Lepisosteus oculatus: one gene and its partners. The protein of the gene in region 4 interacts with the protein of the main gene of each other region in a biochemical or structural test. Links are inferred from orthologs where the notes say so. Each region holds a gene or a part of one and is shown on either strand. Other genes may lie near its edges. The genes, in order: rnf40, rad18, rnf20 and ube2a.

What was found.
Region 1: the proteins of ube2a (region 4) and rnf40 form a complex in vitro, tested with the Homo sapiens proteins (3 studies listed by BioGRID). The link is inferred for Lepisosteus oculatus from reciprocal best matches to the Homo sapiens genes UBE2A and RNF40.
Region 2: the proteins of ube2a (region 4) and rad18 form a complex in vitro, tested with the Homo sapiens proteins (12 studies listed by BioGRID, with this or other methods). The link is inferred for Lepisosteus oculatus from reciprocal best matches to the Homo sapiens genes UBE2A and RAD18.
Region 3: the proteins of ube2a (region 4) and rnf20 form a complex in vitro, tested with the Homo sapiens proteins (4 studies listed by BioGRID, with this or other methods). The link is inferred for Lepisosteus oculatus from reciprocal best matches to the Homo sapiens genes UBE2A and RNF20.

What each region holds. Positions count from the first base shown.
Region 1 is NC_090699.1:15,914,352-15,921,509, forward strand, and holds the start of rnf40 (E3 ubiquitin-protein ligase BRE1B), read left to right. Parts: upstream 1-3,963; 5' UTR 3,964-4,040; exon of another isoform or gene 4,041-4,331; intron 4,332-4,342; exon of another isoform or gene 4,343-4,441; intron 4,442-5,947; 5' UTR 5,948-5,993; coding exon 5,994-6,134; intron 6,135-7,158. Other genes in the region: cfap119 (cilia- and flagella-associated protein 119), read right to left, coding at 435-510, 952-1,068, 1,345-1,415, 1,858-2,021, 2,165-2,230, 3,085-3,116, 3,703-3,729.
Region 2 is NC_090699.1:53,229,245-53,236,405, forward strand, and holds the start of rad18 (E3 ubiquitin-protein ligase RAD18), read left to right. Parts: upstream 1-4,069; 5' UTR 4,070-4,415; coding exon 4,416-4,469; intron 4,470-4,996; coding exon 4,997-5,078; intron 5,079-5,367; coding exon 5,368-5,429; intron 5,430-7,161. UniProt on the Homo sapiens protein: E3 ubiquitin-protein ligase involved in postreplication repair of UV-damaged DNA. Postreplication repair functions in gap-filling of a daughter strand on replication of damaged DNA.
Region 3 is NC_090701.1:42,019,342-42,027,168, forward strand, and holds the start of rnf20 (E3 ubiquitin-protein ligase BRE1A), read left to right. Parts: upstream 1-4,763; 5' UTR 4,764-4,869; intron 4,870-6,213; 5' UTR 6,214-6,225; coding exon 6,226-6,387; intron 6,388-7,223; coding exon 7,224-7,391; intron 7,392-7,820; coding exon 7,821-7,827. UniProt on the Homo sapiens protein: Component of the RNF20/40 E3 ubiquitin-protein ligase complex that mediates monoubiquitination of 'Lys-120' of histone H2B (H2BK120ub1).
Region 4 is NC_090703.1:50,198,492-50,206,559, forward strand, and holds the start of ube2a (ubiquitin-conjugating enzyme E2 A), read left to right. Parts: upstream 1-4,871; 5' UTR 4,872-5,159; coding exon 5,160-5,203; intron 5,204-5,466; coding exon 5,467-5,547; intron 5,548-7,464; coding exon 7,465-7,490; intron 7,491-8,068. Other genes in the region: uncharacterized protein, read left to right, coding at 225-801, 1,325-1,385, 1,864-2,066, 2,165-2,250, 2,924-3,013. UniProt on the Homo sapiens protein: E2 ubiquitin-conjugating enzyme that accepts ubiquitin from the ubiquitin-activating enzyme E1 and transfers it to a E3 ubiquitin-protein ligase. In vitro catalyzes 'Lys-11', as well as 'Lys-48'-linked polyubiquitination.

The DNA of each region.
Region 1 (7,158 bases), on a different chromosome or scaffold from region 4:
ACTTAACTGATGCCTTCATTGAGCTTGCGATTTGACTGACTGGAATTTTGCAAGTGTCTTTTCCTGCTCTGAAGTTTTGGGTTGTAGTTTATGACCCGCAGTGGTTTACAGGGGCATTCAGCAGGTTTATGAGCTGACAACAGCTGAGATCAATCATGTTGCTTCAGCCAATGAAAGACTCTGCTGTGTAACAAAACCGCAAAGTGAGGCCTGGTGAGATTTAGCAGTCGTGTTTCAGATTGAGTGGCTGTTCCTGACTTCCTTGAACTGATCATCTTACCGACCTGATCAAACCCTCAGGGGTCCACACACTGGCCTCAGGGACCAGGGTGGGACAGCAGTGCTCTACAGTGGAGAGGATACGCTGGCACTGAGACTCCACATGCTGCACACAGGCCTCAGTGTGAGCTGGGGCTGCTGCGTGGCGCCAGTACCTGGCTCCAGGGAGTCACTGTCCACTGCCTCGGCCTCAGGCATCCCGCAGTAGGTCAGAGAGAGGTCCAGTCTCACCTGCAAGAGGGCGACAGGCCAGCAGACAGTCAGGCGGACAGAGTGAGAGACAGATCAGCAGTCAGTCAGACAGACTGGTGCACAGAATATGAGACAGATCATCAGTCAGACAGACAGGTGGACAGAGTGCGAGACAGATCAGTAGTCAGTCAGTCAGACAGGTGGGCAGAGTGTGAGACAGAACAGCAGCCAGTCAGTCAGATAGGTGGGCAGAGTGTGAGACAGATCAGCAGCCAGTCAGCCAGAAAGGTGGACAGAGTGTGAGACACATCAGTAGTCAATCAGTCTGACAGGTGGAAAGATTGTGAGACAGATCAGTAGTCAGTCAGTCAGACAGGTGGACAGACTGTGAGACAGATCAGTAGTCAGTCAGTCAGTCAGTCAGACAGGTGGGCAGAGTGAGTCTGTGAAATGGCAGAAAAAGCTGCAGGCATTCAGCACCTGGGGAGTGAAGGTGTACTTGTACAGGGCGTAGTGCCTGAAGTAGGTGTTGACGAGGTACTCTGTGATCTGTGTGGCCTGCTCTGGGCTGAAGAGGTCAATACTGAAGGGAGGGCGCTGGAGAGAGGGACACAGCGGGGAGGGGGAGAGACCAGATCATTTTTAAACACCCAGCACACAGACATGTGGGCTAACACACTGACATACACTACCTACTTGTAACCTGGTAGAAACAGACAGCTCAGAGTGTGAGACACAGAGACAGACAGCTCAGAGCAGTGAGACACAGTGACATACAGACAGCTCAAGGTAGAGACACAGACAGACAGCTCAGAGCAGTGAAACACAGAGACAGCCAGCTCAGAGCAGTGAGACAGTGACAGACACACTGACCCTGACGCAGTGGCACAGGACCAGCTCAGTGAAGTAGTTGAAGCAGTACTCCATGTTGTTGAGGGGCGTCTCTGGAATGAAAGTCCACCAGTCAGGTTACTGTTGCTATGAAGAGTTGCACTCTGGATTGCCTCCCCTTTCAATCTGACTAGGATATGAGAACACAGCTATTCCTTCTCCTTCACAGTGTGGGGTCACAGACAGCAGAGGTGTGGGGTTACAGACAGCAGCAGTGTGGTGTTACAGTGTAGGGTCACAGACAGTGGCAGTGTGGGGTTACAGTGTAGGGTCACAGACAGTGGCAGTGTGGTGTTACAGTGTAGGGTCACAGACAGTGGCAGTGTGGTGTTACAGTGTAGGGTCACAGACAGTGGCAGTGTGGTGTTACAGTGTAGGGTCACAGACAGTGGCAGTGTGGGGTTACAGCTTGGGGTTCCTGCATGGTGAAACAGTGTGGGGTCACAGACAGTGGCATTGTGGGGTTCCTGTGTGGGGTCACAGAGCTGTGATTACCAGTATTGGCGAGGTGCAGGGCTCTGACGATGGACACCAGCACTGAGGTCTGTTCCCTGTTAAACTGCCTCTCTCTGCAGAACAGCACAGCGTACAGGTACATGTCGGCCAGGATGCTGTCACTGGGCCGGGACAGCTGCAGAGCCAGCGCCCTGCCCAGCGCTCTGAGGGAGAGAGAGCCAGAGGGGGGGAGAGTTCACACTGCACTGGTGGCTCAGCTGAGCGTCCCTGCCACGAGGCCCTTACGAAAGCGCCGCGGCGGGTGAAATCGGACCGCTAACACACGTATGGAGGCTCTGGGTCTGACCTCTGCAGCTCCTCTGTCGTCTGCGCCGCCTCCACCTCCTCCATGTCGGCGTAGCTGAGGTCTGCCCTGCACACAGACGGCCGGAGTCACTGACTGCCCTGACCAGACTGCTGGGGCGCCCCTGCGCCCCACGGCATCAGCTACCCTGCAGGGATCTCAGCAATAACTACCCGTCCAAGATGTAATAATAATCATATAATAATAATAATCTCACACCTTTATAGCGCTTTTCTGGACACTCCACTCAAAGCTCTTTACAGGTAATGGGGTCTCCTCTCCTGGATGATGCTCCAGTCTGCTCACACACACCAGCTCTCAGTGGGGAGGAGAGCAGAGTGATGAAGCCAGTTCAGAGAGGGGGGTTATTAGGAGGACATGATTAGTAAAGGATAGGGGGAAATTTTGGCAGGACACTGGGGTAACACCTCTACTCTTTTCAAGAAACACCCTGGGATTTTTAATGACCACAGAGAGTCAGGACCTCGGTTTCACGTCTCATCAGAAGGACGATGCCTTTTTACAGTATAGTGTCCCCATCACTATGCTGGGGCGCCCCCTACTGGCCCCACTAACATCTCTTCCAGCAGCAAGCTCAGCTTTCCCAGGAGTCTCCCTTCAGTGGGTTGCAAGCTGTGAGCTGCAGGGTCATGTAGCTGCTGTCAGATGTGTTTGTTTTATAAGCCATCATCGTGAAGGGAGCTCCCATAAACACAGCAGGCTTAATAACATCTCTGTCCAGTTCAGGTCTTACCTAACTGGTACTACGTCAGCTTGGGGGAATCACTGGGAAACACAAACTGCAAAAAACTGTGTCTGCCAGTTTCCAACCTGAATCACATCAGGATAAGGACAGAGCCCATCTCACAAGCCTGCATTTTAATAGTGCAGAACAAGCTGCAGGAGAGGGAGACTGAACTCACCACAGCAGGACTCTGGGCTTCAGAGGGCGAGGCTGCAGAGACAAGAGCACAGGGGACAGGGCGTTATCAGAAAGACTGAGGGAGAGAGAGGGTGAGGGACAAAGGGAGTGAGATAGGAGAGAGAGAAGGAGAGGGACAGGAGAGAGAGGCAATGGGACAGAAGAGACAGAGGGACAGGAGAGAGAGAGAGAGGCAATGGGACAGAAGGGAGAGAGGGAGAGGGACAGGAGAGAGAGAGGAGAGGGACAGGAGAGAGAAGCAATGGGACAGAAGAGACAGAGGGACAGGAGAAAGAGGAGAGAGGGACAGGAGAGAAAGAGAGGAGAGAGAGGCAGTGGGACAGGAGAGAGAGAGGGACAGAGGGAGTAGGAGAGGAGAGAGGGTGAGACGGACAGGACAGGAGGGGGGAGTAGAGAGGGAGAGGGACTGAGTAGGATAGGACAGGCGAGGAGAGAGAAGGTGTTGGACAAGATAGGAGAGGAGAGAGAACAAACCCACAAAAACAATAGTCAGGCCGTGTTGTTGTTAACCCATTTTTTCAGAATGTTATCTTTTTGCAAAAGCAGAGCAAAGCCGGTACCAGATGGCTAGCCCGACCACGCTGAGACGAAGTCTTACCATTGTCAAAAGGCCTTCTCCCTTCATTCTAAGATGATTTTCTGAAAACGTATCTTAGCCCAGAATTCTGAGGTTAGCGTTTAGGATGAAAAAGCCTTCAGTAATGCTTAAATGTTATAAAAAGATTAATCATTTAAACTACAATAACATCTCCACCCCCTTCGGTAGCGTCAAGAGCGTCTCGCTCGTTTCCACAGCAACTGAAACCCAGCTTCCTCTGCGTGATGCTTCCGGAACCTCTTCCCGTGAGCGAGACCCGGAAATGCGCCGGTCCGACATATACTTCCGGGTGACGAGGAGGATGTGTTGTATTGCGAGCCGCTGTCACAGTCGCTGAGGTTTGTTCACTTTTCTGTTCGTGAATTTATTACTTTCCGTGAAAAAATCGTGCCAGATTAGCAGTTTACTCGGTTGTGACTCCCTTCGAGGTCCTACGTCAACTCAGCGGTGAGGAGACGGAGAAGGACGCGGATCGCTCTGCGTGTCGGGTGCGGAGATCGGGGCCAAACAGCCGCCGCAGCGCTGATCGGCTCACGGTGGGCACACTGCAGTCGTGCAGGAGAGTGAGGGCATCGGGCGTCATGCTAACAGGACAGGAACACCGTTAGGAAGACCCGCCTACTAGGATAGTAGGTCCACTGCCTAACATCAGATGTTCGTTTTGTCAAAAAATGTGTCTGTCAGGAATCTTACAGATCAACCCACATCTCTCTTCGCTGAAGACGTGGAAGGACTGAAGGTTACTGAAAAAAATTGGCCAATTTAATGTTCTGTACAAGCCGTGTCTTAAATAACCCTTCTCTGTCAGTGCAGTGTTAGTGTACTGTAGTGTCCAGTCAGTCAGTGTGTCTGTATTAACCCTTCTCTCTCAGTGCAGTGTTAATGTACTGGAGTGTCCAGTCAGTCAGTGTGTCTGTATGAACCCCTCTCTCTCAGTGCAGTGTTAATGTACTGGAGTGTCCAGTCAGTCAGTGTGTCTGTATGAACCCCTCTCTCTCAGTGCAGTGTTAATGTACTGGAGTGTCCAGTCAGTCAGTGTGTCTGTATGAACCCCTCTCTCTCAGTGCAGTGTTAATGTACTGGAGTGTCCAGTCAGTCAGTGTGTCTGTATGAACCCCTCTCTCTCAGTGCAGTGTTAATGTACTGGAGTGTCCAGTCAGTCAGTGTGTCTGTATGAACCCCTCTCTCTCAGTGCAGTGTTAATGTACTGGAGTGTCCAGTCAGTCAGTGTGTCTGTATGAACCCCTCTCTCTCAGTGCAGTGTTAATGTACTGGAGTGTCCAGTCAGTCAGTGTGTCTGTATGAACCCCTCTCTCTCAGTGCAGTGTTAATGTACTGGAGTGTCCAGTCAGTCAGTGTGTCTGTATGAACCCCTCTCTCTCAGTGCAGTGTTAATGTACTGGAGTGTCCAGTCAGTAAGTGTGTCTGTATGAACCCCTCTCTCTCAGTGCAGTGTTAATGTACTGGAGTGTCCAGTCAGTGTGTCTGTATGAACCCCTCTCTCTCAGTGCAGTGTTAATGTACTGGAGTGTCCAGTCAGTGTGTCTGTATGAACCCCTCTCTCTCAGTGCAGTGTTAATGTACTGGAGTGTCCAGTCAGTGTGTCTGTATGAACCCCTCTCTCAGTGCAGTGTTAATGTACTGGAGTGTCCAGTCAGTCAGTGTGTCTGTATGAACCCCTCTCTCTCAGTGCAGTGTTAATGTACTGGAGTGTCCAGTCAGTCAGTGTGTCTGTATGAACCCCTCTCTCTCAGTGCAGTGTTAATGTACTGGAGTGTCCAGTCAGTCAGTGTGTCTGTATGAACCCCTCTCTCTCAGTGCAGTGTTAATGTCCTGGAGTGTCCAGTCAGTCAGTCTGTCTGTATGAACCCCTCTCTCTCAGTGCAGTGTTAATGTACTGGAGTGTCCAGTCAGTCAGTGTGTCTGTATTAACCCCTCTCTCTCAGTGCAGTGTTAATGTACTGGAGTGTCCAGTCAGTCAGTGTGTCTGTATGAACCCCTCTCTCTCAGTGCAGTGTTAATGTACTGGAGTGTCCAGTCAGTCAGTGTGTCTGTATGAACCCCTCTCTCTCAGTGCAGTGTTAATGTACTGGAGTGTCCAGTCAGTGTGTCTGTATGAACCCCTCTCTCTCAGTGCAGTGTTAATGTACTGGAGTGTCCAGTCAGTCAGTGTGTCTGTATGAACCCCTCTCTCTCAGTGCAGTGTTAATGTACTGGTCATGTACAAACGGCTCTGTCTCTGCAGGTGTAGCTCTTGGAGTGCCAGGAGGAGGCGTGCAGTGTCAGTGATCATGTCAGGGGCAGGGGCAGGAAAGCGGGGAGCAGGAGGAGGAGACAGCCCACCGGGGCCCCCCGAGAAGAAAGGGAAAAGGGAGGAGAAGACTACCACCACTCTGATCGAGCCCATCCGCCTTGGAGGGGTGTCCTCTACGGTCAGCCACTGTCTTCTGCCACCCTGCATCCCCCCCGCTCTGGGGCGCAGTCCCGAGTGTAGACCCCCCACACGCCCCACTCTGGGGCACAGTCCCGAGTGTAGACCCCCCACACGCCCCGCTCTGGGGCGCAGTCCCGAGTGTAGACCCCCCACACGCCCCGCTCTGGGGCGCAGTCCCGAGTGTCGCCGCGCTCTGGGGCGCAGTCCCGAGTGTAGACCCCCCACACGCCCCGCTCTGGGGCCAGCCCCGAGTGTTGACCCCCCACACGCCCCGCTCTGGGGCCAGCCCCGAGTTTTGCCGCGCTCTGGGGCGCAGTCCCGAGTGTCGCCGCGCTCTGGGGCGCAGTCCCGAGTGTAGACCCCCACACGCCCCGCTCTGGGGCCAGCCCCGAGTGTCGCCGCGCTCTGGGGGCGCAGTCCCGAGTGTCGCCGCGCTCTGGGGCGCAGTCCCGAGTGTAGACCCCCCACACGCCCCGCTCTGGGGCCAGCCCCGAGTGTTGACCCCCCACACGCCCCGCTCTGGGGCCAGCCCCGAGTGTCGCCGCGCTCTGGGGGCGCAGTCCCGAGTGTCGCCGCGCTCTGGGGGCGCAGTCCCGAGTGTCGCCGCGCTCTGGGGCGCAGTCCCGAGTGTAGACCCCCCACACGCCCCGCTCTGGGGCCAGCCCCGAGTGTCGCCCCGCTCTGGGGCGCAGTCCCGAGTGTAGACCCCCACACGCCCCGCTCTGGGGCCAGTCCCGAGTGTCGCCGCGCTCTGGGGCGCAGTCCCGAGTGTCGCCGCGCTCTGGGGCGCAGTCCCGAGTGTCGCCGCGCTCTGGGGCGCAGTCCCGAGTGTTGACCCCCCACACGCCCCGCTCTGGGGCGCAGTCCCGAGTGTCGCCGCGCTCTGGGGCGCAGTCCCGAGTGTCGCCGCGCTCTGGGGCGCAGTCCCGAGTGTCGCCGCGCTCTGGGGCGCAGTCCCGAGTGTCGCCCCGCTCTGGGGCGCAGTCCCGAGTGTCGCCGCGCTCTGGGGCGCAGTCCCGAGT
Region 2 (7,161 bases), on a different chromosome or scaffold from region 4:
GCAGGCCTCCATGGGTGAATATCAGTACCCTAAGGGATATTATTCAAATCTGTTCCATGACTACCAATAAACTGCAGTTCCAAACAGACTCCCTGAAAGTAAAAATCTATATATAATTAAATAACTGAAAGTCAGAGGTTGCCAGGGAACTACTGATGGATAATGGGTTCTTGTCAAATTTTCTAGTTTTATGTGAGAACTATATCCAAGCCATGCAAAGGCAGTTCTTGTAGCACTTCACCATTCTTTATGAGCTTCTGTGCTGCACAGTACATGTCAGCACATGGAGCTTAAGAAGTAATAAATGCTCTATTTTCAGTGGCAGTATGTCATAGAGAAAGAACATTTGAGTTGTTAAAAATGAAAGACCCTAGAAAACCATCATATCAGTGGGATGCTGGAGGTCAGCAGCTCAGAGATGCAAAGAAAAAAAAAACATATTTTAATTCTACTTATGTTTGCCTAGCAACTTCCAATTAATGTATTTTAAAGGTACATTTTTGAGACAAAAGTTCAGAAGAAAGCGTAGTGTTAATCTTAAAGATTAATAGAAAAGTCCACATCACTCTAAGGAACATGTGTTTTCCGAGCACGTGGCACTCACTGCCTGTAAGAGATATAGTTATCATTAGCAACCTGCTCAGCTGTAATGTTCAGTAAAAGAGAACAGCATCTTGTACACTGTAGGCATCTAAGTTAAATTGGAAACTGAAAGGAAAAGGTCATTTCACGTGTTTTGACACTATTAAATATAATGACACCAAACACTGGACTGAACATAAATGTATTTCAGAAACTGGGTATTTAAAGAAGTCAGATTGCAATAAACACCTTTAAAATTGATTAATGAGTTGAATGTTATTAAATTGTAATATAGAAAGTATAGAATAGAAAACCACTATATGGTGCTTCAGTTCTGAGTCATGAATTATAACACTCTTAATTTATTTACTGTCTTTTTAATGCCACTAGGCTTTTGAATTATATAACAAATGTAATGACGGTCTCTTGATTTATATCCATGTACTGGATACATGACACATAGTTTATAGAACACAGATGGGCAACGGAAATATTAGATTTAGAAATGGCTTTATTCACAGCAGCCTCAATAGGATGAGACAAGAGAAAGACACATTTTGATTTTAAGAAACTAGATTACTGCATTCATTCTACAAAACCACATTTTAACTTCTTAACAAGTGATAAAGACGGCATTTAAAAGTCCGTGTTGTGAAATGTTGTGAACAGTCTTGTGAACTGGGCACAGGTTAACTTTCAAAATGAAAACTGAAAATCCAATTGTAGAGTTATGAGAATCTAGATGTGTAAAGGTAGTATGGGTGTCAGTATTTAATAAATGCAATGCTTGGAGCTGTTCTTCTGTTGAATTAACAAAAGCCCGACTTGTTGACCTTGTTTCTGCTTCCCTCACCACTTCAGTTTATTGATTTTTTTTTTTCTGAGAGACAGTTTTCAGTCTAGTCTACTGTAACTGGTCTAGATCAGATGGAAATGGGAATGTTAATCCTCTGTGTCAAGGCAAAGGATACGATCAGAAAGCTCAGATTTATTTTTAGCCATTATGTTCTTAAAGAGGTTATTCTCAAAATAATAATACAGCTCAATGTTCTTCCCCACATTACCAATAAAACTGCCTGCTTTGTGGATCAGTATCTTAAATATAGACCCCCCATCCATAACTTTGTTTACTTTAAAACATCCACAAAATGGGTTTTGACTTTAATTCAGTTTTCTGCAAAAGCTCAGGAAGTGTCGTAGGGAAATTGTATGGACAATGTATATTCTTTCAAAACAAATAATTTTAAACTACTTTTTTATATACTATCATTTTGTGACCATCATGGCAAACAAAGCTATTATATAATATTGGATATACTGTATCTAATTCATATATACTGCAGCTATACAATATACTGTAAAATAGTATTGGATGAGATGTAAAGCAAATGTCTGTGGCCACTAAAAATCCCAGGGCATTTCTCAAAAAAAGAGTTGGGGTGTTATCCCAGTGTCCTGGCCAAATGTTACCTTGGCCTTTACCAATAATGCCCTCCTAATAATCCCCATCTATGAATTGGCTTCACTACTATGTTCTCCTCCCCACTGACATCTGATGTCTACTGGTGCATTTTGGCTGACATTGCGTGATCCAGCTGGGTGCTAGATGTTGGTGGTGGTGATGATGATGATGCAGGAACATGGTGAAGATACTTGAATACTTGGTTTAGTTTGATCCACAAAATGAAAAGTATTTTTCATCCCCCAGAGGTTAGTATGCATATGACTGAATGAGTTCAGATAATTATGTACAGATGAAGATCAGAAAGATTGTTTTTAGTAAGAAAACACTCTCCTTTAGGTTAATACTGAGAAGCATACTGTATTCCTAACTTGACACTCACCCCAAGAGAGGGTACAGTAATGATGCAAAACAGAATAAACAGTCAGGTCAGCTTTCAAAAATAGATGGTGCTTTATTATTGGAAATTGAATTTTTGTTATTATGGACCCTATGTGAGTGTGTACTTGAAAATGACTGTATCTCTGATCCAAGACACGTGATTAATGGCTTCTTATACTGGACTACCTGATTAGAATTCCAAATCATTTAACTCCACAATACAATTCATTGCTTAATACTGTATGTCATTGTTCAAGGGTGTCTGAGTATAGTCTGCAATGAATTCACCCAAACTTCAGGTAGATGGGAAATACGCAAAATATTCATTAGTTGTCATAGATTAAAACAGTTATTTTTCAGCCACTAACTGTGGCTGAAAAGCTGATCAACACATTTGTGTTCTCCTGAACTGACTACTGTAATGCTCTGCTCGCTGAGGTATCTAAATCTACATTGAACAAACTGCAGTAAGTCCAAAATTTGGCAGCCAGGATCCTGACCAGGTCTAGTGCAAGTGATCACAATACTCCTATCCTGGAGTCCTTGCACTGGCTTTTTGTCAAATTCCATGTGGACTTTAAAATCCTCATGCTCACCTATAAGGTTCTGCATGGTTTGACACTTCAGTACCTGTCTGAACTATTATCGCCCTACTTCCCACCTCGCAACCTCTTCTAATTCTGGTCTCCTAACTGTTCCCCAAGCCCTTCAACATTCTATGAGTGACAGGGCCATCTCCTGCTATGCCCCCAAGCTCTGGAACTCTCTTCCCAAGGATATCGGAGTCACCTCCTCTTAACTCCTTCAAATCCAGACTCATAAGAGCCTTTACTTAACTGGTTCCATTCTTTACCCCTCTGCTCCTACTATACTTAGAACCACCATCCATGGTCTCCTCTGTGTATTGTAATTGTGTTTTATCTTGTGTATTTGTTTTATTTATTGTTGTTGTCATTCTGTAAAGCGCTTTGAGAAGCCACCTTTAAAGGCGCTATATAAAATAAAAATGTTTTTTATTATTATAATTATTTCTGAATTGGTGATAAAAAATACCTCTCCATTACACAAGATCTTCTTTTAGGCAATTTGAATGTGCAGCATGGAGAAGTAATTAGGACTCTGGAATCCAGTCCAGATAGCTGTGAGTTCATATCCCAGGTAAGACACTGCCATTGTACCCTTAAGCAAGGTAATTCACTCAAATTACTCCAGTCAGTAACCTGCTGAATAAATGGCTCCCCAGGTCATCATTATAAAAAATAGTTCAGGTTGTGTTCTCTTTCTTCTTTTTTTCAGCATGGAATAAACCTATTACTTGTTCCATTATAAAAAAAATAATTTGTATTCACTTGACATTGCTAAATAAAGAACTAGCCCATTATTACCAAAATAACCCTCCTGTTGATAAGAGAATGCCCTGTAAATCAGTAAATAGGAACCTGCAGGCGCTTCGAGGTATCACAGTTTTTAAAGTTCTTTTGAGATCTAATAATGCACCTGACCGAAGTGGGGGTGAAAGGCCCGCCTCACCAGTGATTTTCGTTTTGGGGCAGTTCCTTATTTTTCGCTTATTTTCCGGTGGAGGCGATTTTGTCATGGACGCGCGGCACTCTTGAGTGCTTGCACTGCAAATGTCCTATGTGTAGAAGCTCAATGGAAACAGTAATTATTTTCTCTGCGCTCATTTGTGCTACTAACATAGGAATAGAAGAAGTAAGATTGGATAAAGACAGTGGAACTTCGTACACTAAGGTTTACAGCCGTAAACATACGTAAAAATTAGTAATGTACTGTGATCATTGCAGATTCTATCAAGCCTACAACATCCAGTTCACTCTTCACTGCAGGAAGTGACGATTTTCACTGCGGAAGCTTTTACTCAACTTCCGGCACTGGCGCGGGAGTGTTAAATAATAAGTGTATTTGCAGTCAGGTTCTTTTTCTTAAAATTTGAAGTTAAAGAAGGAGTATTTTATCAAGTGTTTATAAAATGTCACAAAGCTTTACTGAAGCGGAAATCCCCCCTAATTTGTGTCATCTCAAAGTAAGTGAAGGAAACGTCAGTGCAACTCTTATTTAGGCACTGTATGATTAATGCTCCTTAGTGTAAGCAAAGTGCCTTAATATACGTTTATGCTATATATCCACAAAATTGATACCATGTGATGTCAAGAAGTAGTAGGTCATGAGACAACCGAAACTTACTGTTAAGTGTGCACCGTGAGAACAGATCCTTTGAACTTAGGTAATATTTTTTTAGGTAATAAAAGTTGCGATTATTTTCAAACTGCGGATTTTTCCTTTTTCAAGCATTTTGGATTGGCCTATCATTTGTAACCAAATACTACAGTTTATGTGCTCGTATTTACACAGCAGTCTTTTTGCCATCGCACCTTTTATTTCATTCAAGGAGCTGTGATGTTTCACTTTGTAAAATATTTACACTGTTGTGTGCGTCGTTCTTAAGAATGGAAAATAAATAGTAGTTTACTGTAGTGTAGATGAAATTACAGAGTACAGTAGTTGCTTGTAGAATAGCCAACTCAAGTTATGGACTCTCTTTGTTTTTAGAATCTAGATTCTTTGTTTAGATGTCCAATCTGCTTTGATTATCTGGACATTTCAATGATGGTTCAGCACTGTTCCCATAACTGTGAGTACACATTTCAGTTTGAGATTTGTAAAACATAAGTACATTATTTTTGTTTCCAAGCAAAACTTTAAACCAAAATGTTTATTTGGTCACGTTTTTTACTAAGTGCTTAAATAATTTCGATAGATTTTAAATGTTCCTTTTTAATTATATCAGAGAGCTCAAATCATGTAATTCTATAAAAAAAATGTGCTTGAACATTTTAAGTATAGAAGCTGCCTCCTGCAATGGTGTTGTTATACTGTGCTGTAGTGTGGATTCATATTAAAAATATGTTTGTTGCTTTCAGTTTGCTCTTTATGTATACGGAAATTTCTGTCCTACAAACTGAAGTGTCCAGTATGTAATTCGGTAAGTAAAGTATTCTTGTTTTAAAACTTTCCTTATACGTGCAAATTACCATTGTTCCATAGCATATTTATGTAACAATGGCATTTTGCGTGGATTAGAAAACCTATACCTAAATGTTTTCTGAAATCATGTGGTTGTCACCAATGAACAGGCCTACATACAGTATTTTGGTAAGAAATATCTGATGTGGATGTTGAAGGAAGAATGAAATTTCATATCTGTAAGCAGTTTCTATACAACCAGAAGCTGACATTTCTAATTAGATTTAAATAGTTCTATTTCTTGCACTGTTTTTGGTCAGGGGGAAATACTGTATGGGAACAAGTAAATGTTGATTTCACGCTGAAAAGAGAAGAAAAGAAACAATGTTTTGTCTGTGGTGCTTTCTTTGGGTGTAAAGGTGCTGTATCTGAGTGCTTTAAATACTATTATGCTTGTATGTTATTTCAGTATCTGATCAACATCAATGGCATTTGACAAAGCAGAACCAAACTGATTATTTTATAATCCCCACTGATTTTGGAAGGTTAAGACTATCTTCTTATGGTTTCAAATATTTTGTCAGTTCAAGCATTTAAGCTAGAGAGAGAAAACAAAAAACATGACTTGAGTTTTATATACTGGGAGGCATTAAAAAGGCAACACGGTCTTGTTGCCAATATTTTTCCAAAAGTAAGGGGTTCAGTTTATCAGAAAGAGAATAATTCTGCACTATTAGTTAACCAAATGTGCAAAACCCATTTCAGTCATTTGTATCGTAGGCATGTATGCAAATGTAGATGTGATCACTATGATGTTCAGATGTTACTGCGTCTGCAACTGTGTGCACAAACATGGCTGAAACAAAATCCCATGGCTTCCACAGCCATGGTAGGGTAGAAAAGAAGAGGCCATTGGGATGCCGAGGGCAAGTATGTCAGCATTTAGGGGAAATAGACACTGGTGTGCTTCACACGAGTTTAACTTGTTACTGACGGTAACCAAGTGGCCATGAGTCACCACACCTGTTTGAGGTATATCCCATTGAGATATCTCGGAGGATGAAATAAATAGTCCTGCATCCTAACCTACTGCCCAGTCACCTGGATGTCTACATATCCAGACCAGCTCCCAGACAGAAAGATAGTGTCTTGAGAATGAAGGCATAAGAACCCATTGTACACATAGGGTTGCTGTTGAATAACCATCATAGGGCAACATGTCATGCTTGGGCAACTGAAACTGGCCCAAGGCAAATTCAAGTTCAAGTTAATTTGTCAGTCCAGCCATATACAAGTATACAGAGGATCTGGATATTGTTCTCTGGGTCTTCGGTGCAAATACAGACACTGGCAAGAAAATGCTATAGACAATGTAGACATAGACATTTCTGACAGGGTACGGTGCAATGTGCATAGTAAAATTGGAACAACGTTGTATTAAGTGGAGGGTCATGGGCCTTTCTGATGTAGCACAACAGTGGGCATAGGGCATAAAGCAAAGAAGTACCATCCGCATTGTTTCAAACGTGGGTGTATCTGAAGCTGGAGATGTGATGGTATGGACTGCAATTCAGTGTAATTCATATATAAGCGCTTTGAGTGGAGTGTCCAGAAAAGCGCTATATAAGTGTAAGCAATTATTATTATTATTATATATATATAATTACAACAGAAAGTATTTCTCACGGGTCTCCTTCTTAAGCACTCAGTTTAGACACAGATAGTGCTGTTTTATGGCTCTTTGACTGTGC
Region 3 (7,827 bases), on a different chromosome or scaffold from region 4:
CAGTACAGGAGAACAGTCCAGTTACAATAGGAGCTACAATCCAGTACAGTATAACAGTCCTGTTACAATAGGAGCTACAGTCCCAGTGCAGAAGAACAGTCCTGTTACAATAGGGGCTACAGTCCCAGTACAGTAGAACAGTCCTGTTACAATAGGGGCTACAGTCCCAGCGCAGTAGAACAGTCCAGTTACAATAGGGGCTACAGTCCCAGTACAGTAGAACAGTCTTGTTACAATAGGAGCTACAGTCCCAGTGCAGGAGAACAGTCCTGTTACAATAGGGGCTACAGTCCCAGTACAGTAGAACAGTCCTGTTACAATAGGAGCTACAGTCCCAGTACAGTAGAGCAGTCCTGTTACAATAGGAGCTACAGTCCCAGTACAGTAGAGCAACCTGCTACAATAGGAGCAACAGTCCCAGTGCAGTAGAACAGTCCTGTTACAATAGGAGCTACAGTCCCAGTGCAGGAAAACAGTCCAGTTACAATAAGAGCTACAGTCCCAGTACAGTAGAGCAACCTGCTACAATAGGAGCTACAGTCCCAGTACTGTAGAGCAGTCCTGTTACAATAGGAGCTACAGTCCCAGTACAGTAGAGCAGTCCTGTTAGAACAGGAGTGTTAATGGCCAGCTGCAGCTCCACTCTGTCAGAGTGCAGTGTTCACGCTGGGCTTGGCTGATTTCACTGACTGGGGGAGCAAAGATCAGCACTCTGTGGAACAAACACAGCAGTAAACACACTAGGCTGAATTCAAACCTTGCTATTGTGCTGAATTCCCTCTGTTCTCTCTGTATCTTTCCAGCTCTCTCTATCTCACTATATCTCCAACACATAGTATCTCCTCTCACTCCCTGCCCATCCTGCCCCACAACCCAGACAGAGTACTGCATCATCCTTCCTTACAGCACCATCTCTCAAACTCTCTCTCTCAGTGCAGTGTTAATGTCCTGTAGTGTCCAGTCAGTGTGTCTGGACTGTATTAACCCCTCTCTCTCAGTGCAGTGTTAATGTACTGTAGTGTCCAGTCAGTGTGTCTGGACTGTATTAACCCCTCTCTCTCAGTGCAGTATTAATGTCCTGTAGTGTCCAGTCAGTGTGTCTGGACTGTATTAACCCCTCTCTCTCAGTGCAGTGTTAATGTCCTGTAGTGTCCAGTCAGTGTGTCTGGACTGTATTAACCCCTCTCAGTGCAGTGTTAATGTCCTGTAGTGTCCAGTCAGTGTGTCTGGACTGTATTAACCCCTCTCTCTCAGTGCAGTGTTAATGTCCTGTAGTGTCCAGTCAGTGTGTCTGGACTGTATTAACCCCTCTCAGTGCAGTGTTAATGTCCTGTAGTGTCCAGTCAGTGTGTCTGGACTGTATTAACCCCTCTCTCTCAGTGCAGTGTTAATGTCCTGTAGTGTCCAGTCAGTGTGTCTGGACTGTATTAACCCCTCTCTCTCAGTGCAGTGTTAATGTCCCGTAGTGTCCAGTCAGTGTGTCTGTACTGTATTAACCCCTCTCTCTCAGTGCAGTGTTAATGTCCTGTAGTGTCCAGTCAGTGTGTCTGGACTGTATTAACCCCTCAGTCTCTGTGTGCAGGAAAGGCAGGCAGGCTGTAACAGGGGGTAACAGGTGTAACTGGGAGAAGGAGAGAGATTTGGCCCCAGAAAGATAGATTCCCCTTCACCTGTAAATCCTCTTACGTAAGCCATCCCCACATGGGTAAGGACAGATACTGGGGTGCTCCTAGTGTACCCCAGCTTGGTGGTGCCTGTCCTGTCTCTCAAAGCAGTGTCTGGGCAGACAGCTGGGGTCCCCACGCGCAGGCTCATGTGTGTTGAGTGAAGGGACTGAAACACCGACTGTGCTGTCTGTGTCAGAGCTCATCCCACGTTCCATGGCATCGAGCCCTCAGAGGGCACGTGGTCCCGTCACAGAGCCTTTCCCCAGCAGGGCTGGTCCCCACCTTTCCACTGGGGTACAGCCCCTCCCTCCAGGTACAACTGCAGTGTCCGCAGCAGGAGTTCGAAGCCACAATCCCAGACACCCACCATGCTGCCCTCTGGAACTGGCAAGAGGCAGACAGAATACAGCAGTGCAGTGGAAACAGGAAATACTGGAAACAAGAGGAGCCAAAACAACACGCACATGTCCCAATCAGGCTAGAGCAGCAAGAGGACAACGTTGGTTGTCACTGGTGCCTTTATTGAGGCTGCTCTCTACATGGACGGACAGCACGGGTTTGAAAAGTAAGGCTTTGATTGAATTGTCAGAGCTCCACAAACAAGCACCCAGGACTGAAACTACACTAAATTTCCCTCATGGGGTCAATAAAGTATCTATCATCTATCTAAAGAACACAAGAAGATATATCTTCTTACAGGTGTGAGCAGTGGAGTGTCTCAGGTGACAGGTGTGAGCAGTGGAGTGTCTGATTGGGCAGGTGTGAGCAGTGGAGTGTCTCAGATGTCAGGTGTGAGCAGTGGAGTGTCTCAGGTGACAGGTGTGAGCAGTGGAGTGTTTCATGTGACAGGTGTGAGCAGTAGAGTGTCTGATTGGGCAGGTGTGAGCAGTGGAGTGTCTCAGATGTCAGGTGTGAGCAGTGGAGTGTCTCAGATAACAGGTGTGAGCAGTAGAGTGTCTGATTGGGCAGGTGTGAGCAGTGGAGTGTCTCAGGTGACACGTGTGAGCAGTGGAGTCTCTCAGATGTCAGGTGTGAGCAGTGGAGTGTTTCAGATGTCAGGTGTGAGCAGTGGAGTGTCTCAGATGACAGGTGTGAGCAGTGAAGTGTCTCAGATAACAGGTGTGAGCAGTGCAGTGTCTCAGATAACAGGTGTGAGCAGTAGAGTGTCTGATTGGGCAGGTGTGAGCAGTGGTTGTGAAGATCAGACACACTGCCTGCTATGAATCTGTTCATTTTGACTCAGGGTTCCCAATATTCTGGCCACTGAGTGTACATGTACATGCTGGAAATGTAAATGATATTCCTAGAGTTCTCATTGAGTGATGTTGATAAATGTTGTTTTGTGTCATGTTATTGTACTGTTGTTGCATTGTATTTATGTCGTATATAGTATGTTATATTTTTATGAGCTCTTGATCTGCAAGACAAATTCCCTTAGAGCCAATAAAGATTGATTAACTAAATTATAAATACACAGTTCAGTACAGAAAGAGACAAACATGGCCACATCTCCCTAGACTGAAACACAGACCACAATGAATGTGGTTAAGATTTAACTCCCAGATCTAATCATTCTTACCCAGAAATTGCTCCATGATTCAGTCAGGCAGTGCTATCTTTCCAAGCACTGCAGATAAGAGAAAGTTACACAATGTGAACCCTGACCCACAGCTGAAGTATTAGCTTCCAGAAAGATACCGTGCTGCAGTTTGATGCAGGACTGAATTGATATTAATTTCTCTGTCTATTAAGTAGCTGTCTGGTTATGCAATGAGTTGAAGATTATTATGAGGCGTCAAAGGTATGGTTCTGTATGGAACAGTCCTGGCTTGCCTTTCACTTAGACTCCTCGACAGGGAAGATCAGACCTTCTCTGAGTGTAGCCCAGTGCGCTACAGTGACACACTGAGCACTCCTGTCTGAGTGTAGCCCAGTGCGCTACAGTGACACACTGAGCACTCCTGTCAGAGTGTAGCCCAGTGCGCTACAGTGACACACTGAGCACTCCTGTCAGAGTGTAGCCCAGTGCGCTACAGTGACACACTGAGCACTCCTGTCTGAGTGTAGCCCAGTGCGGTACAGTGACACACTGAGCACTCCTGTCAGAGTGTAGCCCAGTGCGGTACAGTGACACACTGAGCACTCCTGTCAGAGTGTAGCCCAGTGCGCTACAGTGACACACTGAGCACTCCTGTCTGAGTTTAGCCCAGTGCGCTATAGTGACACACTGAGCACTCCTGTCAGAGTGTAGCCCAGTGCGCTATAGTGACACACTGAGCACTCCTGTCAGAGTGTAGCCCAGTGCGCTATAGTGACACACTGAGGATTCACATCAAATAAATATAATTTTCTTCTTGCATCCATTTTCTAAGTACTCCAGTTCAGGGTTGTGGGGGAGTCGGAGTCTATCCCAGTAAGCAGTGGGTGAAAGGCACAGCACACCCTGGATGGGACACCTGTCCATCACAGTGCACACAGAAACACACACACACACCAGGGCCTGTTTTCCCAGAAGCTAATTAACCTGACAGTATGTCTTTGGACTGTGGGAGGAAACCAGCATGAACACAGGGAGAACATATCAACTTCACACAGACAGCACCCCAGGAATTAAATCCATGGTCTTAACAAGGCTAACCGCTTGTGCCACCTGATTTATATCTCCGTTAGTACTACCAATAATAAGAATAATGGAACAAGTCATAGGTTTATTCCAGGCTGAAAAGAGGAGAAAGAAAACACAACGTTTTGGCCGTGGAGCCTTCTTCAGGTGTGAGGGTGTGTGTGTAAGCTCACACCTGAAGAAGCCTCCACGGCCAAAACGTTGGGTTTTCTTTCTCCTCTTTTCAGCATGGATTAAACCTATTACTTGTTCCTTCGCAGCCTAAGCATGCTGACGCAGCTACCCAGCTGAAGTGTAATACTAATAATAATGTCACAGGAGCAGTATTATCAGTTGAGGTGATCCCACAGTAATCGAGGCCCTGCCCAGGCCGATATGACCTCCCACCACCAGGTGGCGCGATACCGTCCCGAGAGCCGCGCACAGCGCCCCGCCAACAAATAAAGCAGGTTGTGGTTTAACTTCCGCTTCCGTAAGCAGGAGACGGGGATAGAGAGGGTGGGAGCTGGAGGTGTACACAAATCTAAAACATGAATCATTGAGACCGGCGTTAAAGGCAAGACTTCGGGAGAACTTTCGGTAAGAAAACGAAGACGCTATGAGTGACTTTAGCGCAGGAGGTGAATGAGAAGATAACGTTAGTGTTGTGTAGTTGCCCTGGTCGTGTAGTGGTGTACGTGTGTGTAAGCTGTGTGTTTGTGTGTTGGGTGTAGCGCTGAGTTTATATCAGCATCTTTCTGTGCTGATATAAAAGATTTTCTGCGTTAGATAGTAAAATTACTAGAGATCACTGCTCTCTCCAGCAGAGAGAAACTACGGGGGCTCATCGGTCTCCCTGTTAGTAAACTTCCCGGGGCTCACCGCTCTCCCTGTTAGTAAAATTACTGGGGCTCCCCGGCTTCTGTCAGAGACAGCGAAATTAATTCTCATCTGTACAAGAGCTTGCAGCAGGTTAACGCTGGAGAGGCGCAGACTGCTGGGCAGTGGGAGTTTGCCTGCCTGTCCTACCTGCAGCCACTTCATGAAATGAGTCTTGAATTGGTTTGCTCAACCAGCTATGCTCAAGACTTTCTTATAATGGAGCATGTCACCAGCTCTGGGGTGTGTAGTCACTCAGGGCGTGTGTGCCCTCCATCAAGAGAGTTTATCTGTCTGAATGTGCAAGGAAGCTGAGTCTCCCTTCATTCGGAGTATTCCTGATCCTGATTCCCAACAGAGACTACTTCAGGCCATCCAGAGGCCAGAAAGCCCTTTTCCAGTCCTGGCTCTGTATCGGCCCTGTCTCTGCGCATCACTCTGATGGTGCTGTGTTCTCTGGCTCTCTGGAGTTTGCAGCTGAGCTTCTTTCACTGGCTCTCCGGGTCTTCACTCGAGCTGAGCTCTCTTGTGCTCTCCGGACACTGGAGCGAGCAGGATGTGGCGTTTGAGCTGCCCTGTGGGGTTTATCGGCTGTTACAGGGACGCAGGTAGATTCTCCAGGAGGCCCCTGGCAGCAGGCAGAGGACTTTAAACAACTTGACACCCCAATGTCTTTAAAACGCCCCACACTAGGGGGCTGATCTGAGACGCCGTCGCAATCAACAGAAACTGAATCGGACGAGTTTCAGAGATTCCCTGAGCTTCTGTGCCGGGAAGAGTGGTTGAGTCCTGAGACTTCAACTCTGCTTTTATTTGTTGCTTCGAGTCTAGGAAGGGGCTTTGCTGGGCCAAGGTGTGGAGAAACCAGGCTTGCCAGGGAGAGCAGTGTGTCTCCTCCTCTGGCTCAGGCGGACAGGCCTGCGGTCGCGTCTGGGCGAGAGGCTGAGAAAGTCTCACGCCTGCAGCACTTCCTGCCCCAGCTGCATCTTGGGAGCGGGCCGGTGCACCGTGGGATACGTGCCGCAGCTTGGCGCCGGCGCCATCTTGACCTGCTCTCTGTCCTAGGCTGGGCCAGCGATGTCGGGGCTGAAGCGCCCTGCTGACCCCCTGACCTCCGGGCCCCCCGAGAAGCGGCGGGAGCGAGAGAGGGAGGGGGAGAGGGAGGCGGAGGACGGGGGAGCTGCGGGCGGCAGCACCGCTGTGGAGACGGTCATCAAGCTGGGGGGAGTGTCCAACACTGTGAGTCCCACCCCCTGTCCAACATCAGGCCATCACCCTGGCTCTGTCAGCTGTCCATACACTGTCTCCTACCAGACTGATATTGTGAAGACGTCTTGTTACACATTTCTCTCAGTGCAGTATTAGTGTCCTGGAGTGTCCAGTCAGTGTGTCTGGACTGTATTAACCTCTCTCTCTCTCAGTGCAGTGTTAATGTACTGGAGTGTCCAGTCAGTGTGTCTGGACTGTATTAACCCCTCTCTCTCAGTGCAGTGTTAATGTCCTGTAGTGTCCAGTCAGTGTGTCTGGACTGTATTAACCCCTCTCTCTCAGTGCAGTGTTAATGTCCTGTAGTGTCCAGTCAGTGTGTTTGGACTGTATTAACCCCTCTCTCTCAGTGCAGTGTTAATGTCCTGTAGTGTCCAGTCAGTGTGTCTGGACTATATTAACCCCTCTCTCTCAGTGCAGTGTTAATGTACTGGAGTGTCCAGTCAGTGTGTCTGGACTGTATTAACCCCTCTCTCTCAGTGCAGTGTTAATGTCCTGTAGTGTCCAGTCAGTGTGTCTGTACTGTATTAACCCCTCTCTCTCAGTGCAGTGTTAATGTACTGGAGTGTCCAGTCAGTGTGTCTGGACTGTATTAACCCCTCTCTCTCTCAGTGCAGTGTTAATGTCCTGTAGTGTCCAGTCAGTGTGTCTGGACTGTATTAACCCCTCTCTCTCAGTGCAGTGTTAATGTCCTGTAGTGTCCAATCAGTGTGTCTGGACTGTATTAACCCCTCTCTCTCAGTGCAGTGTTAATGTCCTGTAGTGTCCAGTCAGTGTGTCTGGACTGTATTAACCCCTCTCTCTCTCAGGAGGAGCAGGATATCCGAGCTCTCCAGGTTAAGAACAGGAAGCTGGGAGAGGCTCTTGACCAGAGGCAGGTGATTGAGGATGAGCTGCGAGATCGAGCTGAGAGGCTGGAGAGACGGCAAGCAACTGATGATGCCAGTCTGCTCATCCTGAACCGCTACTGGAACCAGGTAATGCTCCACGCTGCTCAGGGCGTGCCCTGACGCCGGTCCATCGGCAGGTGCTGCTCACACACCACTGTGGCTATGAGAGGCTCAGTTTCCAGCAGCTGGAAAAGATGCCCGTGATGCTCAGGTGTGGCCATGCTACACTTGGAATGCTGGGGCCTTTTGTGGTTTCTGCTCAATATTTAATAACGATTCTGGACTTTATATCCTGCGTGTGGCTTATGTTTGCATTAATGTTTGCCAATGCAGATGAAGCAGATGGTCTAGACAGTCCTCATGATATGCGCGCTATCCATCTGTGTATCCTTTTGTGTATATCGCGCTGTGTATATCGCGCCCAGCCTCTGGATACGAGTGTGCCTGCGGTTGGACCTGTTGGTACGTTCAGTGCGCCTGTATTGACCTGCCACTCTCCCGCCCCCCCCCCCTCAGTTCGACG
Region 4 (8,068 bases):
TTTGTTCTTGTGACAAGGTGCCCTAGTCATCTCCTTGCCTGTGCTGTGGTAGAATCAAATGCATTCGCACTCTGGCGATGGTTTAGAAGGCTGTTATCCTGGGGTTTGTGTTTTGAAAGGTGTCTGCATTAGTCTGCCACTTGAAGTGCAGCTGCCAGTTATAAAGTGTGTGGTTCAGGGAATGTGACTCACCTGGTACCCAGTGGCTTGCTTGTCATCCTCAGGGTGGCAGTAGAGATGGTATTGAATGCCCCAATGGGGTGCCACAGTGCCTGGATGGTGACAGCCCAGGTGTGGGCTTGGAAACGGACACTGGGAGCTCCGGAGACGTCCTTGGCTCCTGTCCTGCCAGCCTCCCCAGCGCCCACACCAAAGAGCCAGCAGACAGCAGCAGAAACAGAGACGCCCGAGCAGGTGATGGGTCTGCCAGAGTCCCCTGGCCAGGCGGAGCTGGTGCAGCAGAATCGAGCCACTCTAACCTGGAATTCAGGGAACTCCGGCCCGACTGGCACCCTGGTCAAGCGGATCTGCCAGAACCTTGTCCCCTCAGCAAACGGCTCTCCGTCTCAGCCGATGCCCTGCAGCGCAGTTTTGGGGACGGCCCGACTGCCCCCTTCAAAAGTTTCAAGATGAAAAAAGCCAGCCGGTTTCCGAGAGGGCCCGGGCGTGGCCCGGCCACCGGAGAACAGGCCCAGGAGAGCAAGGAGAGGAACGAGAAGAAGGGCCAGGAGCAGCAGCAGAACAAGACCAGCAACCTGGACATCTCCGCTGCTGTCTGCGATCTGCTCAAGGAGATGGGGGGTATGTCCCGAGACTGCACACAAGTGATTCCCGATTCCAACACGTTCCAGTTGCACTGTGGCTTAATGTGCTCTTCTGTGTAGGATGAGCCAGGGAAAAAGGTGTCCCACTGCCTGTGGTTCTTTGTGTGTACTGCCTTTGCTTGTGAAACCCTGTTTACCACATCTGAATTTGTATGAGATCTGTTTACTCTGGAGCAAATAGTTTTTGCAGTATAGGTCTTTGAATCAAACACAATCCATCGATCCGTTTTCAAATCCACAATATGTAACAGAGCCTAATTTGGCCAGCAAGGCAGGGTACATCCTGGACAGGACACCAGTCCATCGCAGCGCGCACGCGCACGCAGGGTTCATGAAACACATCTGTCAGTGACACAAATGACTAAAGAATTTAATTCTTAATTATTCTCTTTTCAAAATGGCAGTTTAAGAGTCCGTTATCTGCACTGAGGGCGATTAAATAAAAACGGTTTGAATCTGCTATATGAAACCTTACGTAAATGTTTGTCATTTTCTTCCAGGGAATATCTTTGTTAACCTGGCTCGTTTTGTTTGCAAACTGCCGGTGCTGAACTTGGAGAAGTAAGTAGACTTCTTTTTTCTTCTGTAGCTAGTTGAAGGCTAATGCTTTTGTTAAACTGTGGAAGTGAGGAAGACTAACTGCAGAGAATGAGAAGCCCTGGTGCTGCAGGAGGTGAGGAAGGGCTGACAAGGCAAGGCTGTGCGATGTCATAACCGGCCAGCAGCCTGCAGTGTGCCGTCGGCATAGAAGGAAACCACAGTCGCTCAGGACCTCAGCAGAATGCCTCCGCTGATGTAAGGAGCCGAGAAGCGAACTCTTCAGCAATTGCGTGTCGTACTCTCTCATGACGGTAACTCAGAAATCAGGCCAGGAAATTCTAAACGGATAGTGGCACTTGTTTCAATCACCCTGTAATAACTCAAGGCCTTCAAGCAATAACTGATGATTCGGAATAACTGATGTTGCCTGCCATGCCAGACGAGGCGCTCACCCGGCAGAGCTGTGGCCTCACGTCTGTGCGTGTCTGCCGCTCTCCAGGAACCTGGACGCTTACTTCAGGACCCTGAACCTCACGGAGGCCCGGCTGGCCTCCTACATCGACACGCTGCGGGAGAAACAGTGGCCCGCGGGGCAGCCGGCCGGCCCCAGCCCCGGCCCCAGCCCGGCCCCGGAGAGGACCGCCGAGCAGAGGGCCGAGACCAAGCAGAAGGCACGGGAGCTGCTGCAGACCAAAGTGCCGTGTGAGTGTGCCGCGCCCCCCCCCCCACTCCCGTCCGGCCCCCCGAGAGCCGGGGCTGGAGGGCGATGTGTTAACGCCGGCCCTTTCTCCTTTTTTCAGATTTAAAAAAAGTCTTAAATAAAAGCGACGTCGATGCCATACTTGATGTCTTCCAAAACGAAGCAGAGAACAAGAAGCTGGTTTATGTGAGTAGATCTCTGTACAGGACACGGAGTAATGCCAGACATGATGATAGCGGCACTGTGTGTATAACTCTAGTGGTGTTAGTGGGGCCAGCAGGGGGCGCTCACCCTGTAGTCTGTGTGGGTCCTAATGCCCCAGTATAGTGACGGGGACACTGTACTGTAAACAGGCGCCGTCCTTTGGATCAGACATAAAACAGAGGTCCTGACTCTCTGTGGTCATTAAAACTCCCAGGGTTTCTTGAAAAGAGTAGGGGTGTAACCCCGGCGTCCTGGCCAAATTTCCCATTGGCCCTTACCAATCATGGCCTCCTAATAATCCCCATCTCTGAACTGGCTTCATCACTGCACTCCTCCCCACTGAGAGCTGGTGTGTGTGAGAGTACTGGCGCATCATCCAGGTGGGGCTGCACACTGGTGGTGGTGAAGGGGATCCCCGTGACCTGTAAAGCAAGTTGAGTGGGGTGTCAAGAAAATTGCTTTATAAAGTGTAAGGAATTATTATTATTGTTATTATTATTTATTATTAATAACAATAATTAAAACCTTTGCTTATAAGAAGAGAATAAAGAGCACCAAAGAAGCCAATTAACAGAACAGTTTTTTTTCTGTTTCTCAGCTAACTCATCACAAGGTTAATGAGAGGGATGTGAGCCTTCCTGTTCTGTTTCTGCAGATGTTGCTCTCGTTCCTGTTGAGGAAGCTGGTGCCCGAAGACCCTTCCCTGAAAGTGCCAGCCTTGTCCTGCCTGAGCAGCCCTCTGTGACCCCGAGCAGAACCGCCACAGGGGGGCGCTGAAGCAACTTCAAGAGCCGAGAGCCTGTATATTGAGACTAAGTACATCTTGGAGCTCTGGTGTGACGTGCCAAACACAGTGTAGCTGGAAGGTTGTTAAACTCTTGAAAGGGTCCGAACAGGACGTATTGGAATGTCCTGCTTCTCCTGGGTTCATCAACATGCTTTTGTGTAGTCGTGCAGTTAAATTTGCACAACCCGTTCATCATCTGTATCGTACGCCACCGAAGGCATCCACAGCCTGCGTGCTGTAAAACGTCCCTCTGCGTTTCCTCAGATACGAGAAGAGATGCGTTTTGTGTTAAAAATCAGTTGTTTCACATTCCTGCGGTGCCCATCGAGTGAGCATGTTTACATGTTTATAGTCTCCTTTTTTGTTACTTTCTGTATCGACTCCTATTAACCCAAAGTAATAAATTAATATGAGCCGTAATGGGTGGAAAAGGCACAATTAGATTTTTTTTTCCCCCTCGTGGCAGGGTTGTTTCTTCCGTGACCACATGGCCACTCTAGGTTTGAGAGGGCGTAAGTGCAATTAAAATGATTTTATTTAGCTCTGGTTCCAGTAAAGTGCTCTCTTGACAGTTTGCTTGCAGCAGGCTGTGGTCCCCTCAAAACAAGGAATATCTCACTGTGAATTTCTCGTCTGTTACTCGTTGACTCTTTGAAACTCTGATTCTGCTGTTTAACACGGATGCTGCTATTAACACCAGACCTACTTAACTCTGTGTTCCTCCCAGAATCCTCCTTCACCCTCTTCTGAACCAGCGGCAGGTTGGTCGGTTTAGCAGATTCTGTACGGGGGTGAACTGCGAGACTTTATTGTACAGTATTTAATTTTAATTTGGGAGGAATGGTGGTTTCTACTGTAAACGGACCAAGTTAGCCTAGAAAACGTACATACAGTCATTTTTATAACTTTTAAAAAATACTTCTGCTTCAGAGTAGTATCGCACAGAATTAATTTTTGGATGGTTAGAGTCATTTTCTCCTATTTTTAATGGAAAGGGATGGGGGCAGATTCACTGAGTTTTAGCAATCCTGAATATGTGATCCGTATTGAGTGTTTTGAACGTTACCAGTTGCTGAGGGCACTTTGTATTTCTTGTGTTTATCCATAGGTATTTCTTGGATTATGCTTGTTAATCATTTTTCAATAAATTACATTTATTTTAATTGTCTTTTTTGGAATTAAAAATATTCAGATTCTATACACTAAAATTTTGCTTTATTTGACTTAATGACATTACTGTATCCATAGTCACAACTACCTATGAAATCGTGACCTTGTTCCATATTTTTGGTCTTATTTCAGCCCTGGAAGACGTCTGTTAGATTGAATAGTTTGGCGACATATAAATGTTCGGTTTCTGTCAAATTATAGTATGGATTATCGTTTAACAACAAAATTAGTACTGATTGCCAAAGATGTCACTGAGTGAATACCGTTTATACTTGATTTGTAATAAAGCAAAATTAACCTGCAAAGCAAATCGCATATAAATTGGGCTCGGGTTGTCAAATGCTCTTGCATGGTATACATGTTTTTTGGTGATTTCTTTAATTAGAGGACTGTTTAAAAAAAGGGCATTTGTCGGGGAAGCAAAAACGTCTGGTTCACGCTCAGTATTTCAGCCCTGCAGGTAAACATTTGACGCCAAGACTAACCCAGCAAAGCAATGAACAAAAAAAATCACATTGTGATCGATAGGCTTCTGAAACCCGGAGGAGGAGGAGGGGGGGGGGTTGTCGGCGCAAAACACGTCTCTTTCAAAACTTGAGCTCGCAGTAACCGGAGTACTGGAGAATTGAACAGCCGCTGCTTTATTTTCCCCGACCCTGGGCGGTGGAAACGGGATTTAATGTTGGGTGGTTTTGAGCCGGGCCGAGCCCACATAGGGTTGGTCCTCCCCCACGGCAGGGCGGCGGAGTTGGTATCGCCCTGAGTCCTCCGAGTTCCCGGCTCGGGAAACAGAGCCGCACGGGCGTCAGATACGTCTTCGGTTGTGGGGTTAAAAAAACCGAGTCGCGCTCGACTTCCCGGCGTCTAAAATCAGAAAACGACCGCCTTATGTTTCATTTTTAACTTTTTTTTTCCTCCCTCCCCCTTCACGAAGATGTCAACCCCAGCTAGACGGCGTTTAATGAGAGACTTCAAACGGTAAGAGGGTCGAAGGCTTCTTCGGGCGTTTTGTAGCGACCGAAAAAAAAAAAAAAAGAGGAGGCGAACATGGCGACTATTCAGAAACTGTGCGGAGTGGGACCGAGCGCTACGCAAGTTTCGCAGCGTCCGCCGCGGCGGAGACCGCGGGGCCTACGCGAGCAATGTGGCGTAACGGCCGTTCCGGGATAGGGAAGAGTTTTGATGACAGGATCTCTCAGAAACAAGGCAGTGTGTTATTTTGTGTTGTCTCTGTGAATCAGGCTGCAGGAGGACCCCCCTGCGGGCGTCAGCGGAGCGCCCTCGGAGAACAACATCATGGTCTGGAATGCGGTTATTTTCGGGTAAGTGGCGGGCCGTGCGCGTTTTTAATCCACCGCCTTTATTTTCCGTAGTCGAGTCGGTTGCCCTTTCCAGCCGCCGGGAGAGAAGCGCTGTGGCCGGGAGAGCCGGTTAGCACCGGGTCCCGGGAGCGAAGTTTGTGAAGACAATTGTGCGGACAGCGTCTTTACGCCAGTGGCTGGCTTTTTCCTTCCCTTTTCTAGAGACGTCAGCGCTGTCGAAGTCTCTTTCATACCCAGTCCGTGTGCCTCCAGCTGGGCAACAAGTATGACACGGTGTAGGGTGGTTATTTAAAGCACCTGGCTGCGCGACACGTATCCGACACCTCGCGTTAAATACACGTTTTAGGAATTGCGCGATTTTGTTTTTCCTTCAACGTTTTATGGAGCAGTCTTGCGTTACTGTCTCCGTCGCCGGTTTTTCATTTGAGTTGTTCCGCATGGCCACACGTTTTTGTTTCTGACACAGAGTCTGTCCTTAGTTTGTTGGTTTGTTTGTGTTTTTGGTGGGGGGAAGGGGGTGTGTGTGTGTGTTGTGAAATGTCCCAAGGAAAACATAAAGAAGACCGCCCCCCCCCCTGTCCTGCTTGTCCTGTTTATCACACAGTTGATTCTCACACAAAAAAAACAGAAGCCGACTGTTCCTGTCGTGTGACGCGTCTACATCTACAAGGAAATGTTAAAAAGCGATCAACTATCTTTTTTTAATACTCTTCTCGTACTTTACATTGAATCGTCCCGGGTGCGCTCTTTCAAGGCGGACCAGCGACATCAGTTCAGCGATGGTACTTTAAAAAAAAAAAAATACAATGTGACTATGCGTTTCTCTGGCCTGTTTCCAGTGGGGCTTTGCAGTCCAATGCGCGACAGCTGGTCCGTGGAGAAGACGCTGCTGTGTCGGTGGCCGGTCCGGTGGTGTTAATGCACTTTCCCCGGGTGTCAGTCGCGTAACAGGTCGTCACACAACACCCCGACAGGCCTTGAGTGGCGTAACAGGCGGTGGTTCGGTGTTGTCCTGCTGGGTCATGGATCACTCTGGTGCCTGGGCTCCGAAACTGGGCCAGAGCCGGTCCCGGACCCCGCTGTCCGCACTGTCGGGCTCTTGAGCTGCGACCAGCATCGACCTGTTCTAATTGCGCTTGGATTCAGTTCGGGCTGAATCTATTCCATAACAGCAGACACATCGCAGAGACTTAATTCCTTATTGGGGGAAAATAGAAAAAAATAAAAAGATCATTTGCAGTGTCTAAGGGTGGACGGCATCAACGCTGCCTAGATCTAGGCTGTTGGTTGAGAATTATGGAAATTAGTATGCAAAGGAGTTCAGACAACGCTGATGTGTGGTGTCTCCTACCTGTGGGATTAAGGCTGGTTTTTAGTAACTGGATTAATGGTAGTACCACACCCAAAGAAAACTAACTAAACATTTCTAACCCACAGCCTTGTTTCTGAGCAATCGGATGAGGTGGCTGAGTAAAGGGTGTGATAAAAGTTTCTGTGCCTTGCATTCTTTATTAACATAACAATGAAGGAACCTGGTGACACGTTTTATACTTTTTTACTTCTGTTATAATTGCACGTCTGTATTTTTTTAAGACTTCCTTTGTTCATACAAATGCGATAGGCAGGTAATGGTATATTTGTTTTCCTTAATGCTTTTTCTGCGCTTTATTAAAAAAATAGAACCACAGGTTTCACTTCTATAGAAATCTAAAACCTGAGAAATGAATGCTGTGTTCACAGTAGCCCTACCGATAGTGTTGCCACTAAGGTTACAATGACCAGCTCTGATGTAAATGGTGATTAGTTTTTAATCTCAGATTAACCTTCTAGATTTTCTTTGTTGAAGGAAGAAAAACACTTTTTTAGTTTGTGCTTTGAGGTTCACTAATTCTTTCTTTTTTTTTCTCCTTTCTGTAGCCCCGAGGGAACACCATTTGAAGATGGTAAGTTCCTAATTGTGATTTTATTCATTCAATATGTAATGGCACCAGGCACCATTGTGCCGTTAAATTATTGTGGATTTTTCTAGAGAGTGGTTAGATCTGATATTAATGTCACGTTTAAGAGTCAGTTTCTGTTCCCTTGTTTTTATTTGGATTAATTCCTGAGCAAGATGTTGTATTTGTTGCATGTTAATAACTTAAGAGACTAAGCAAAGAGATTTAATAAAGTATCTAGGCTGTAAGTCCAGGTGTGTGCATCTGAGTTTAAATTCAGAAATAAAGAATTCATTTCTGTAGCTGGGAGAAAGTGTCTGATTTCACTGGAGAATATCTAGTCCTTTCCAAACTGGGCTGGATTCTTGTAGGCCTGTACACAGAGTGAATCAGTGGCAGGTGAGACCATGTGCTTTTTATCCTCCTGGCTTTGGTAAGAATAAAGAGGCTGGGAGTGTGAGAGATGCACACTGTTCTTTGGTAGAATTCTAGAAAGACAGGAGAGCCCAAGTTCCCTGCTGCACCTAGTTCTGACTGACAGTATGGAGTGGCTTGGCAGATGCAGGGTTATTTGTTGATCGTGG